Macaca mulatta: one gene and its partner. The protein of the gene in region 2 interacts with the protein of the main gene of each other region in a pairwise test. Links are inferred from orthologs where the notes say so. Each region holds a gene or a part of one and is shown on either strand. Other genes may lie near its edges.

Evidence for each region.
Region 1: the proteins of NUP62CL (region 2) and OGT interact in binary tests that used the Homo sapiens proteins (3 or more experiments, as listed by UniProt). The two-hybrid records come from large-scale screens. The link is inferred for Macaca mulatta from reciprocal best matches to the Homo sapiens genes NUP62CL and OGT.

The regions. Positions count from the first base shown.
Region 1 is NC_133426.1:78,015,030-78,020,740, reverse strand, and holds the start of OGT (UDP-N-acetylglucosamine--peptide N-acetylglucosaminyltransferase 110 kDa subunit), read right to left. Parts: upstream 3,711-5,711; 5' UTR 3,515-3,710; coding exon 3,478-3,514; intron 682-3,477; coding exon 501-681; intron 1-500. UniProt on the Homo sapiens protein: Catalyzes the transfer of a single N-acetylglucosamine from UDP-GlcNAc to a serine or threonine residue in cytoplasmic and nuclear proteins resulting in their modification with a beta-linked N-acetylglucosamine (O-GlcNAc).
Region 2 is NC_133426.1:113,949,013-113,954,077, forward strand, and holds part of NUP62CL (nucleoporin-62 C-terminal-like protein), read right to left. Parts: intron 2,596-5,065; coding exon 2,445-2,595; intron 1,853-2,444; coding exon 1,803-1,852; intron 1,658-1,802; coding exon 1,523-1,657; intron 1-1,522.

The DNA.
Region 1 (5,711 bases), about 36 Mb from region 2:
ATATGCCAGAATGACAATTATTAAAAGGACAAGAACACAAATTCTTCCCTTTTGATTAATTCAACTGATTAACTAAAAGCAACACACCATAACAACTTAACGAAACTTCAGGTATGCATCTCCTGCCACAGCATACATAACCACCATTTCTGAGCATTTCAGTCCCTCAAACTGACAGGTCTCATGAAAGGGAGACTGGATGCTCAGATATACATTGATAATAATTTATTACCTGAACAGAGTCTAGAAAGCAGCAGACCCAGGTAGAAAAATCTAGAAAAGGTCCCTAGTCATACTGATAATATAACCACCACCACAAAAGGAAGGAGAAAAACTGGCAGCTGGGCATGTCACAAGTGGGCAAGAGAGAGCAGATGTGCGTTGGCGGCTCAGTTGAAACCCGGTACTGGAAAAATTTCAAGTTCAAATATTTAAGTATCATTTTTCAAGCTCAGCACCCAGAGGCAGCAATCACGAGCAGGTACCCCCACATCTCCTACCTGTCCAGCCTTCGACACTGGAAGTGTATAGATGAAAGTAATAAAAGCACACCAGTATTGTCTGGCTCTTGTCTCCAGAGCTGCATGCAGTGTCTTTCAGCTGCCTCAAAATCTCCTGCCTGATATTCTCGATGTGCCAACTCAGCTAACCCTTGGAAGGAAAGCATACGTTTCGTTGGTTCTGGAGAATCATCAAAACATTTGAGGGAAGGAGGGGGGAAAACAAAAAGTTAGAAATGTAAACAAAAAAATGTAAAAATATGGTATATTTAACTTAAAAATGGAAATGCTTGAAACTATGTAAAGCACTAGAGTGTTCTGCACGTTATTTATATCTCCAAGTTAACATCAAGTGCAGAATTGACATTTTTAGAATTCACCCATTAATACTTTCCCAAACTAGAAAGGAATATTTACTTCCAAATGAGATTACATTTTATGACCAAAAATACTTTGTACTTTTAAATTATAAATCATAGGTAGCATCTAAGGATTCACCGAACATCATTCCTTATATCTTAGTTTACATACAGAAACAAAATATTAAACGTGTGATTTGCAAGGTCACAAAGACTTAATAATACCAGAATAACATATTGGAAAACTTAATATTTTGTACCATATTTCAGGTTGGATTTGTGGAAGTGGAGTACTGGTAACAATCTACCAGTCTTAACCTCAGTAAGGACACCAGATGTGTTAACTCTTTAAATTCTATCAATGTGTTTGTATATTTCACAATTTAATTCTTTAAAAGGACAAGTAGAAACGAGCCTAAGGGAAAAACCAAAAAGTCAAAGTGCTATTTTTAAAACAGCTGATAAACAAGATGTTTGTCATTTGTCAACAGCCAAAATAGTTAAAGGGGTCATCAAACATTTTAAATAAAGACCCAAGATTTTACTGCTCCTCTACCATCCCAAACTCACAAGGAGACTAAATTGGCTAAATCCCACCCACGTTGGTTTAGCACTAACATTTTCCAAAGAGCTCTGGTATTGACTAAAGGATTAAGACAGTGCAAACAAGCCTATATAAACCAGGCAGTTATCTGCAACTGCAATGGTCAAAACGTTGGGGAGGAGGGGGGATGGACGCTAAAATATAAGATATTTGATAAAGCGCAACATAACGAATAAATAAAAGCACTTTGCTGCAACTGACTTAATCCAGATACATCAAGATCTTTAAAGGATATAGCTAAAGCCCAAAGAGGGGAAAAAAACTGCTTGTCACAACTGTAAATACTTAAACTGGGAATTCGACCGTAGCACTTCACTAGCTGGTTGAAATGGGAAACCATGGACAAATTTTTTAATTCTACCAAGGTTAAGGTGACGAGTTCAAACTTGAGCCCAGCTCCCCAATCATTAGAGCTGATGAGTGTTCTCTGGATACTGAGGAAAGCAAAGTAAATTTCCTGACAGAATGCACAGCTGACCACCAACACAAAGAGCACTGAGACTGGCATCCACATCTGGGAGAGGTTATCTCTCTAATAGAAACTAAAATTACATTTTAGCTAAGTTTCTAGAACTTCCTAGCTCCTTGTTTTCACACATTACTTTGTCACTTTTCAATGCCGCTTATCTATTTTAACACTTGAAACGACAGCTTCCTCAAATAAAATAACACATTAAAAAGGGCAAGCTAGTACAGAATCTCAAACCTTTGAAAATCACGGTGGAGAAGTGGGGAGAGGGGCACGGACTAATTATTAATCCCACTCCCTACGATTACGGATAAGATGCTATGGACGATTCACCTACTACTTACAGCACAACTTCCAGAAACAGGAACTAAAACCCTCCACACATCTCAACTGAGAAACAACCAAAAAATAACCTCGCGGGAAACCTCAGAAGCGCAGCCCAATTCCCCACCCCCTTCCGCCCAAATCGACTCAATATGGAAAGGCAGCTGAAGGACACTCCTATAATTTGGTTGTTTTCGTATTTTTAGTACCAAATGCTCGCGACTGAATTGTCTAAAAGGGCAACCGCCTTGTACTTGTGCAGCTACACTCCAGTTGCTTTACAAACTCTTCAAGCAGGGATGGAAACTTAAAAAAATATTACACCCTATGAATAAAGAGATGCTGGGCTAAAGAATGGGGATGGCAGACCCAGAGGCGGCGGCGGAGGAATACATCGAGAAAGTAACACAAAGCGAGAATTGGGCGGGCAGGGTGGTCAACGCCAAAGCAGCAGCGTCGGGGTGGTTTCTCCCCCAAGGATAGGAAGTGAACAGTAGGGCTGGCAACCTCGCGAAGGGAAGGGTGTGGTTCCCCGAGGACAGGGTGGGAAATCCAGGCTGAGGGCAGCGGTGGAATTGAGCGATGGCAAAGGAAACCCCTGGAAATTTCCAATCTAAACCGGGACCGCTCAACCGAAAGAACACCAGAAAGGCACTGCCTAGCGGGGTGCTGCTCAACGTCCCCTCTTCTCGAGGTGACTTGTGGCACCATCGACGAGCTTTTGCTCGTCCTCGGGTGATGCAAAGTGAGGATACGATTACATCGGAACGGCACCCCCGCCCTAGATTGGCAGAGAAGGACCAAATCTGGCTAAGGGGAAAAGGCTGGAGGGGGAGACGGAGGGAAAAAAGGAGAGGTGAAGAGCTGGAATTAGGGGAGAAAACCGCTGCAAAGGAGTGAAAGGGCAGGGATTCCAATGCAGTCCATTCCACGACATTCTAAGCGCGCACGTGTGATAGAAGCGCCCAGAGAGAGTGGAAAGCTACAACATTTACGAAATAAAAACAAAGCAAGAAAGGGAGCAAAAAGCAAGCAAAGCAGGAGGAGGAAATGTTCGGGAAGCGGACGACAGCGGAAAACCCGATCTACCACGAGAAGCTCAGCAATGTCACTGATGTAATGGGGATGGTTCGAGGTAAGGGAGGGAAGGAGTGATACAAGGTAGAGGACGGCGCGAGACCCCAAGGGGGCATCTGCCAAGGTAGAACGGGACACCGGTACCTGTGCTGTCGGCCACGTTGCCCACGGAAGACGCCATCTGGAGCTTCTCGAGGGAGAGCAAAAAAAAGGTAACTGGTCCTGCTGCCGCCACTACCGGCAAGAACGTATTTGGAGGTAGTAGTACAAGGGCAGCAGCCGTAGCAATGCTCTGGAGGGCTTCAGCGGCGGCAGCAGTTACAGGCTTCGAACCCTGGGAACTCTAGTTGGCCATCTACCTAGTACGGTCTTGAAATGGCGGCGACGGCTCCTCGGCCGAAACAACACGGGCCGGAACTACTTTCTGTTACAATCAAGTGCCCGCGCGGAGGTAGCCGCGGTAACCAGCGCCGCCAACAAAATGACTTCAAGCTGCAAAGTCGAGATTCCATGTAGCCCTCCGCGCAGCGCCCATTGCGACAAACACCACGGTGGAGACGGCGCATGCGAGCAGCCCTGTCAACCCGACTCGCGGTTAGGGCACTCTCCCGGGCGGAAGCGGCTAAGTTTCTTAAGAGTGTAGCGGAAGGGTAAAAACAAACAAACACACACACGGGGAGAATACATTTTTGCCACGGCGATAAAGAAGAGTCTGTTTGTTACTTAGCAGGTGGTGTCGTTTTAAACATAAACGCCAAAGGCGTCTAAAAAAGTTTGTCAACTTTATTCGTACAAAAACGGATGGTTACGACTCTCACGGATCAATTCCGATCCAGTCAATTCAGAAGATTGCCTCGCAAAGACAGCTGCTCCAAACTAGGAGCGAGAGGGTTCCTATTGAAGCCGTCTTCATTGTGACTCGGCCATCGATTTCGGCACTTCGATGAAAAAGACTGAAACTTTCACGGGGCCAGTTGAATGGAGACACCTCCAATGTTGACCGTATAGCCCGAAATTTCAAAATCGTTTTGGTATTCAGAAGACTCCTGCCCACAGTGATAGGGCAAATGCTTAATAACTCAGGGACATGCCGGGGGTTTGCACTCCGAAGGCAGCCATAAAAATGTTAAAGGTGATTCATGTTCGTCAAAATTCATGACTCTCCTCCGAGTTGTGACTTCATTTCAACCAACTAGCTCTGCGGATTGTCACAATCGGCGATTCCACTGAGCTCAAAGCAGATCAACAATGATAAATGAATTCACTTGCCATCTGCCTAAAACCACACGTCTAGATTTAGTCATGAATTGCCTCCACTTCCTTGAACAAATGGGTTCTTATGATCCTCCTGCAGTTTCAAGTCTACTGTTCAGACATTTTGTCACATTGGCATTTATACCTCACGTCTTGTTCTAGAAACGATTTAAGGTAACTTGCCACATCAGCAAGAAATTATTACAAGCCACTGGAGGCTACAAGTTGGATCTCTGAGAGCCTTTTTATTTCAAAAAGTCCTTGATCTAGGAAAGCAGGTCAATGAATTTCTTCAAAAAGTTTTTGCTAGGGGGGAGGGATAGCATTAGGAGATATACCTAATGTAAATGACAAGTTAATGGGTGCAGCACACCAACATGGCACATGTATACATATGTAACAAACCTGCACGTTGTGCACATGTACCCTAGAACTTAAAGTATAATAAAAAAGAAAAAAAAAGTTTTTGCTACCTAGCCCCTTCACTACATTGTTTGATAAACTAAATCCTCAAATTCTGCTTAAATTTCTTCAAAACAGTCAACAAACAATTAATTATGGAAATAAGCACAGAGAAAATTCATAATGCTAATTTCTTCCATCCCATAATCAAGAGTCACATCATGCAGTGAAAAAGACAAACATCACTACACAAACTCCCTTGAAAATTGGGCACCAACCTCTTGTAATTTGATTTAACTGGTAAAACCTCCCCCGCTCACACACACACCTACTACAAGTTCCCAATCTGTGATGAATAAACTCAGCTTTTTAACTTTTAGGAAAAGACTTCGCCGATTCCACTGGCAGATGTTTAGGCCTTGCTGATGAGCGGGTGCTAATTAACTAAAACTCTTTTTGTTGTTAAATGCAGGTCATGCTCGTACTTCTTCAGTCAATAAGTAACATTACTAGAGTCTCTATGTGCAAGGCACTGTGGGCGGCACAAAAATGAACAAAACAAATCCTCGCCCTCAAGGAACCTGAAGCCTAGTTAAGTATACACAAAAAGCTACTAGAGAGCAATACAGAAGACTATTTAGATGATAAAATATATTACTCTCTATGAATATCTAGGGAGGAAACAGGTAAGGTTGGAGGGGGTGACGAAGAAGGCTTGATCT
Region 2 (5,065 bases):
CCTAAATTCTCAAGATTTCCACACAAACTACACACAGGCGCGCGCGCGCGCGCACACATGACCCAGTCAATAAATATGTTTATAAGAATTAAAGTGGCCAGAGGATTTTTCAACCTTAATGTGTATAAAGATTTAAAGAGTCAATTAGATTTGTAGGTAACAACTATCTACTGCCTTTCTATGGCATAGTACTTATGCCATAGAATTGGTTGCCTAGATTGTTGAAGATTCTGGTAAATATTTCATCACAATATAAATCTGGGCCGGGTGTGGTGGCTCATGACTGTAATCCCAGCACTTTGGGAGGCCGAGGAGAGTGGATTATGAAGTCAGGAGTTCGAGACCAGCCTGGCCAACATGGTGAAACCCCGTCTCTACTAAAAATACCAAAAATTAGCTGGGTGTGGTGGCACGTGCCTGTAATCCCAGCTACTCAGGAGGCTGAGGCAGAAGAATCGCTTGAACCCAGGAGGCAGAGGTTGCAGTGAGCCGAGATCGTGCCACTGCACTCCAGCCTGGGCGACAGAGCAAGACTTCATCTTGAATATATATCTGACTACAAAAGAGCAACTGGAAAGGAACTAATGTCATGAAGATTTCTTCAAACTATAGTTAGGATCTTATGGCCAAAAATGTAACTCTATATGTTTCAAAAAAATGATAGAATGCATAGAAAGCAATACAAAGAAAAGAAAAATTCACAAAGGTTGAAATACAAAAGCAGAAACTGGTTTAGGTTAATACAGATTAGTTGTACTTACCACATTTAATGCTCCTACAAAAAAGTTAACTTGCAAGCATGTTAAAAATAGGCCCAGTCTTAACTCATAATAAGTTATTGATAAAATGTGTCCAATTTAGTCTCAGTCTAGATTATGTTGTTCATTCATACAAATTCTAATACTTAATAAATTGACAGACTACCAAACCTCAGTTCCAGAGAAATAAAGTTACTTCGGAAACATTGGCACTGTACTGACAGAAGGTAAAGACTGAAGAGTTCACAAATAAAATATAGCCCTCCTAATACACTGACAAAATCACTCCATTTTTGAAAGCTATACAGTTTGCCTCCAGATTAACAAATTGCCTTTAAAATAGCAAATGATTTATCACTAAAGCAATTGCATGAACATTAGTTTTAGCAGAATCAACATAAAGAGGATACCACAAATATCCCACAATACCATGACACCACACACATAAAATTTGTACTTCTAATTTAAGAACAAATTTGACAAATACAAAACCTTTACAGTGAACATGCATAAGGTTGACAGTAATAACAATAAACAAAATGCTATAAAACAAAATTGCCAGAATGATTTCCTCATTTACAAGCATCCAGAAAAGATAAGCAGAAAACAGTCAAACAAATTGATAAATGTCAACTACAAAAGCTTGTCCCTTTCTACCGATTTGTATTCTTTGCCTTCCAATTCAACTTTTCCCCTCTGTTCCTGGAATGCTCTCATAATATGTAAGTCCTGCCCCATTCTTCAATCTTTATCCAGTTACTTACGTCTTCACACGCTCCTCATCTGCATCCTGCAGATAATGAAGTCCACTCTGGTTGCTCGTAGCCTCCTCTAAATAAGTCAACAGAAATTCTAGTTCCTGCTGCTCTGACAGGATAAAATCCAATTCTTGTTCCAACCTGAATAAAGTAAGTTAATAAAAGGGCTGATGAAAGGAATTTGGAGTGACAAAAAGAAAAGAGTTAACAAACTACAGAGGGAAAAAAAACACTGAATAAAAAGATAGGTCTTTAATCTTTCAACCAAGGAAATCTAAGGTTCTACCTTTTCTGATCCAGTTTCACTTTGTTCACTTCTCCATGTAAAATACTAATCTATAAAGAGAAATATGAATACAACAATATAAGTATTTGAATTTATATAACAATTTTAGAGCAATATTAATTTTCTCAAATACACTTCAAATATGAAAGATTTCCTTTTATTCAGGGTACTTATTACCTAAGGAATATATTTTGAACTGCTCACCAATATTGGAATAGAGAATTAACCACAGGGCTGGGTATGGTGGCTCATGCCTATAATCCCAGCACTTTGCGAGGCTAAGGCAAGAAGATCACTTGAGCCTAGGAGTTTGAGATCAGACTGGGCAATGCAGTGAGACCCTATCTCTACTGAAAAAACACACACATCATTAGCTGGGGGTGCTGGTGTGCCCCTGTGGTCCCAGCTACTTAGGAGGCTGAGGTAGGAGGATTGCTTGAGCCAGGGAGATTGAGGCTGCAGTGAGCTGTGATTGCACCACTGTGTTCCAGCCTAGGTGATACAGCAAGACCCTGTCTCAAAAAACAAAAACATAAACAAAACAACAACAACAAAGAAAACCACAAAACACAGGTCTATGTTCTTATGTTCATCTGTAAATACTTGCACAATATAGGTAGATTAATGAAAACATCTTCTTACCATCTCACCATTCTCAATCAATGTACGGTCCCAAGCATTGACCTGAGTGGCCTGGAGAAGAAAGTACTTCTCTTGATCTTCCAGCTCAAGGTTCCACTCATTTATAAGACCCTCCAGGTGACCATATGTCATCACAGGAGTTGCTACTACACTAAAACATAAAAGGATGCAGGATGATCCAATAATCATACTTTAAAAAGTGTGATCAGATTTTAAAAATGAACTCAGGAGGACTCTGAGAAGAAAACAGCATGTAAGGAGTTTCCCGTACCTGCACCCCAAGAAAACAAACATAACTGGTAAAGATGATTTAAAAAAACAACCCCTCAAAGTCACTTGAAATTATCCTAGAGGAATATAGTAAATAAAGATTTATTAAGAAACCTACTAAATCACAGCAAGAATAGCTAAAGTCTGTGCCATAATCTGCTCTTTCTCTTCCCCTCATCCCAGCTCAGCATGACAGAAGCTCCTTTCTGGGTAGGCATAGCTAAGGAGATAGGATTCTCTCTCCCCCAGCTCTTAGTCAAAGTGACCCATTCCCTGTCTGAGAAGTATCCACAAGAGAGTGGGCATTCCCCACTGGGCAGAACCATGTAGAACTCTGATTCCCCTGCCAAGTGGTATCAAAAAAGGCTCAGTAACTAGCTAATCTTTGATCCCTTGGCCAGCAGAGCCAGTCAATGCTGATTCCTCTGCTGTGGCAGTGTCAGCAGGGCTCAGTGGGAAGGTAATCATCAATTCCCTAAGTGGAAGACACAGGCACAATTCCAGTTCCTCCACCAGGGTTCTTTCTGTGGGATCCAATGACAAGTTGAACCTAAATTCCTACCCAGTAGCAACAAGGCTCAATGAGGCAGAAGAGGCAGGGTTTAGTCACCATTAGGCTTCACCTCTTGCCTCTGGTGTCAGAGAGACCCAGTGGGGAGCTGAATCTCTATACTCACCCAGCATCATTACAACTGAACAAGGTAATTCAAGTTAGGACCTGTAGGGATCCCACTTCCTACCATCCATGGGGTCAGCAATGCCCAATGAGAAGCTTGACCTCCACATCCACTGGCAAAGCCAGACTAAATGAGGTAGGGCAAAGAATGCCTAGTCAGTACTTTGTCCCCCTTCTCCCATGAGCCTGTGTCAGCTGGGCCCAGTAGAGAGCTAAGCCTTCATACGAACCAAGGAGGCTGAATGAAGTGATATGAAACAGAGTAGTTGACATCATGCTTCTTCCCTCCCCTTGTGTCAGTGGGGCCAACAGGAAGCTTAAATTCTGCCTCCACCTGCAGCAACTAAGCAGTGTGAGTCAGTCCTCCACTTCCCCTTGATCTGGGGGCTCCAGGGCCCAGCTGGGAACTGAGCTTACATCTCCACTTACTGGCAATAAAGTGGTAGCATGCAATGTTCGCCTTTCATGAGCAATGAGTCAATGAGGCTAAGCGGGAAGCAGAGTTTCCAAACCACCCATCTGCCTTGAGACAGCGTGTGAATAAGTGCTCCACTTTTGCTGGAGTGGTGTAGGTAAGGTCCAGTGGGAAGTTGAACATACAAACACACCCATCCCTTGTACTACATGTCAATAAAGAGATGCTTGATGAAAAAAAAAAAAGATGAAAATAGGACCTAGACTTTCCTAACATAATAGACAGAATGTCCAAGATAAAATTTTAAAAATTACCCATCATATCAAAACCCAGAAAACCCACTACTTGAAAGAGAAAAGACAACAGATGCCAACACTGAGAGGTATCAGATATTGGAATTATCTGAAAAGAATTTTAAAGTAACCATCAAAAAAAGGCTCAAACAAGCCATTTCAAATTTTCTTAAAACAAATGAAACAATAGAAAATCTCAGCAAATAAATAGAAATTATGAAAAACAACCAAATGAAAGATATAGAACTGAAATGTAAAATAACTGAAATAACAAGCTCACCTAAGGAGTTTGATAAGAGAATGCAGTCAACAGAGGATAGAAGAAGAAAACTTGATGACAGACAAATAGAATTTACAGAAAAACAAAGAAAAACTTTGCAGAAACAAATGAAAAAAGTCTCAAGGACTTGGAGGACAATAATAAAAGAAGTAACATTTGTATGATAAGAGTTCCAGAAAGAGAGGAAAGAGAGAATGGGACTGAAAAACATATTAAAAAAAAAAAAAAAAAGATTGAAAACTCTCAAAGTTTGTCAAAAGATATAAACCCACAGATTCAAGAAGCTGGACAAACTCCAAACAGAATAACTCAAATCCACACTAAGACACAAAATAATTAAACTTCTGAAAACTAAAGACAAAGAAAAAAAATCTTGAAAGCAACCAGAAAGAAAAAAATGCATTACTTAAAAAGGAATATCAGTTTAGATGACAGTAGATTTCTCATCTAAAACCAAGCACTGAATGAAAAAAAAGTGTCAACAATGACTTCTGTATCTGGTGAAAATGTCCTTCAGAAATGAAGGGGGAGATAAAGATATTCTCACACAAAGTCAAATCAAGATAATTTGTTGCTAGCAAACCTACCCTTGAAGATTAAACAGAAAGGAAATGAAAACAGAAGACTTGGAACATCATATAAAGCAGCGATCCCCAACCTTTTAGGCACCAGGAACTGGTTTTGTGG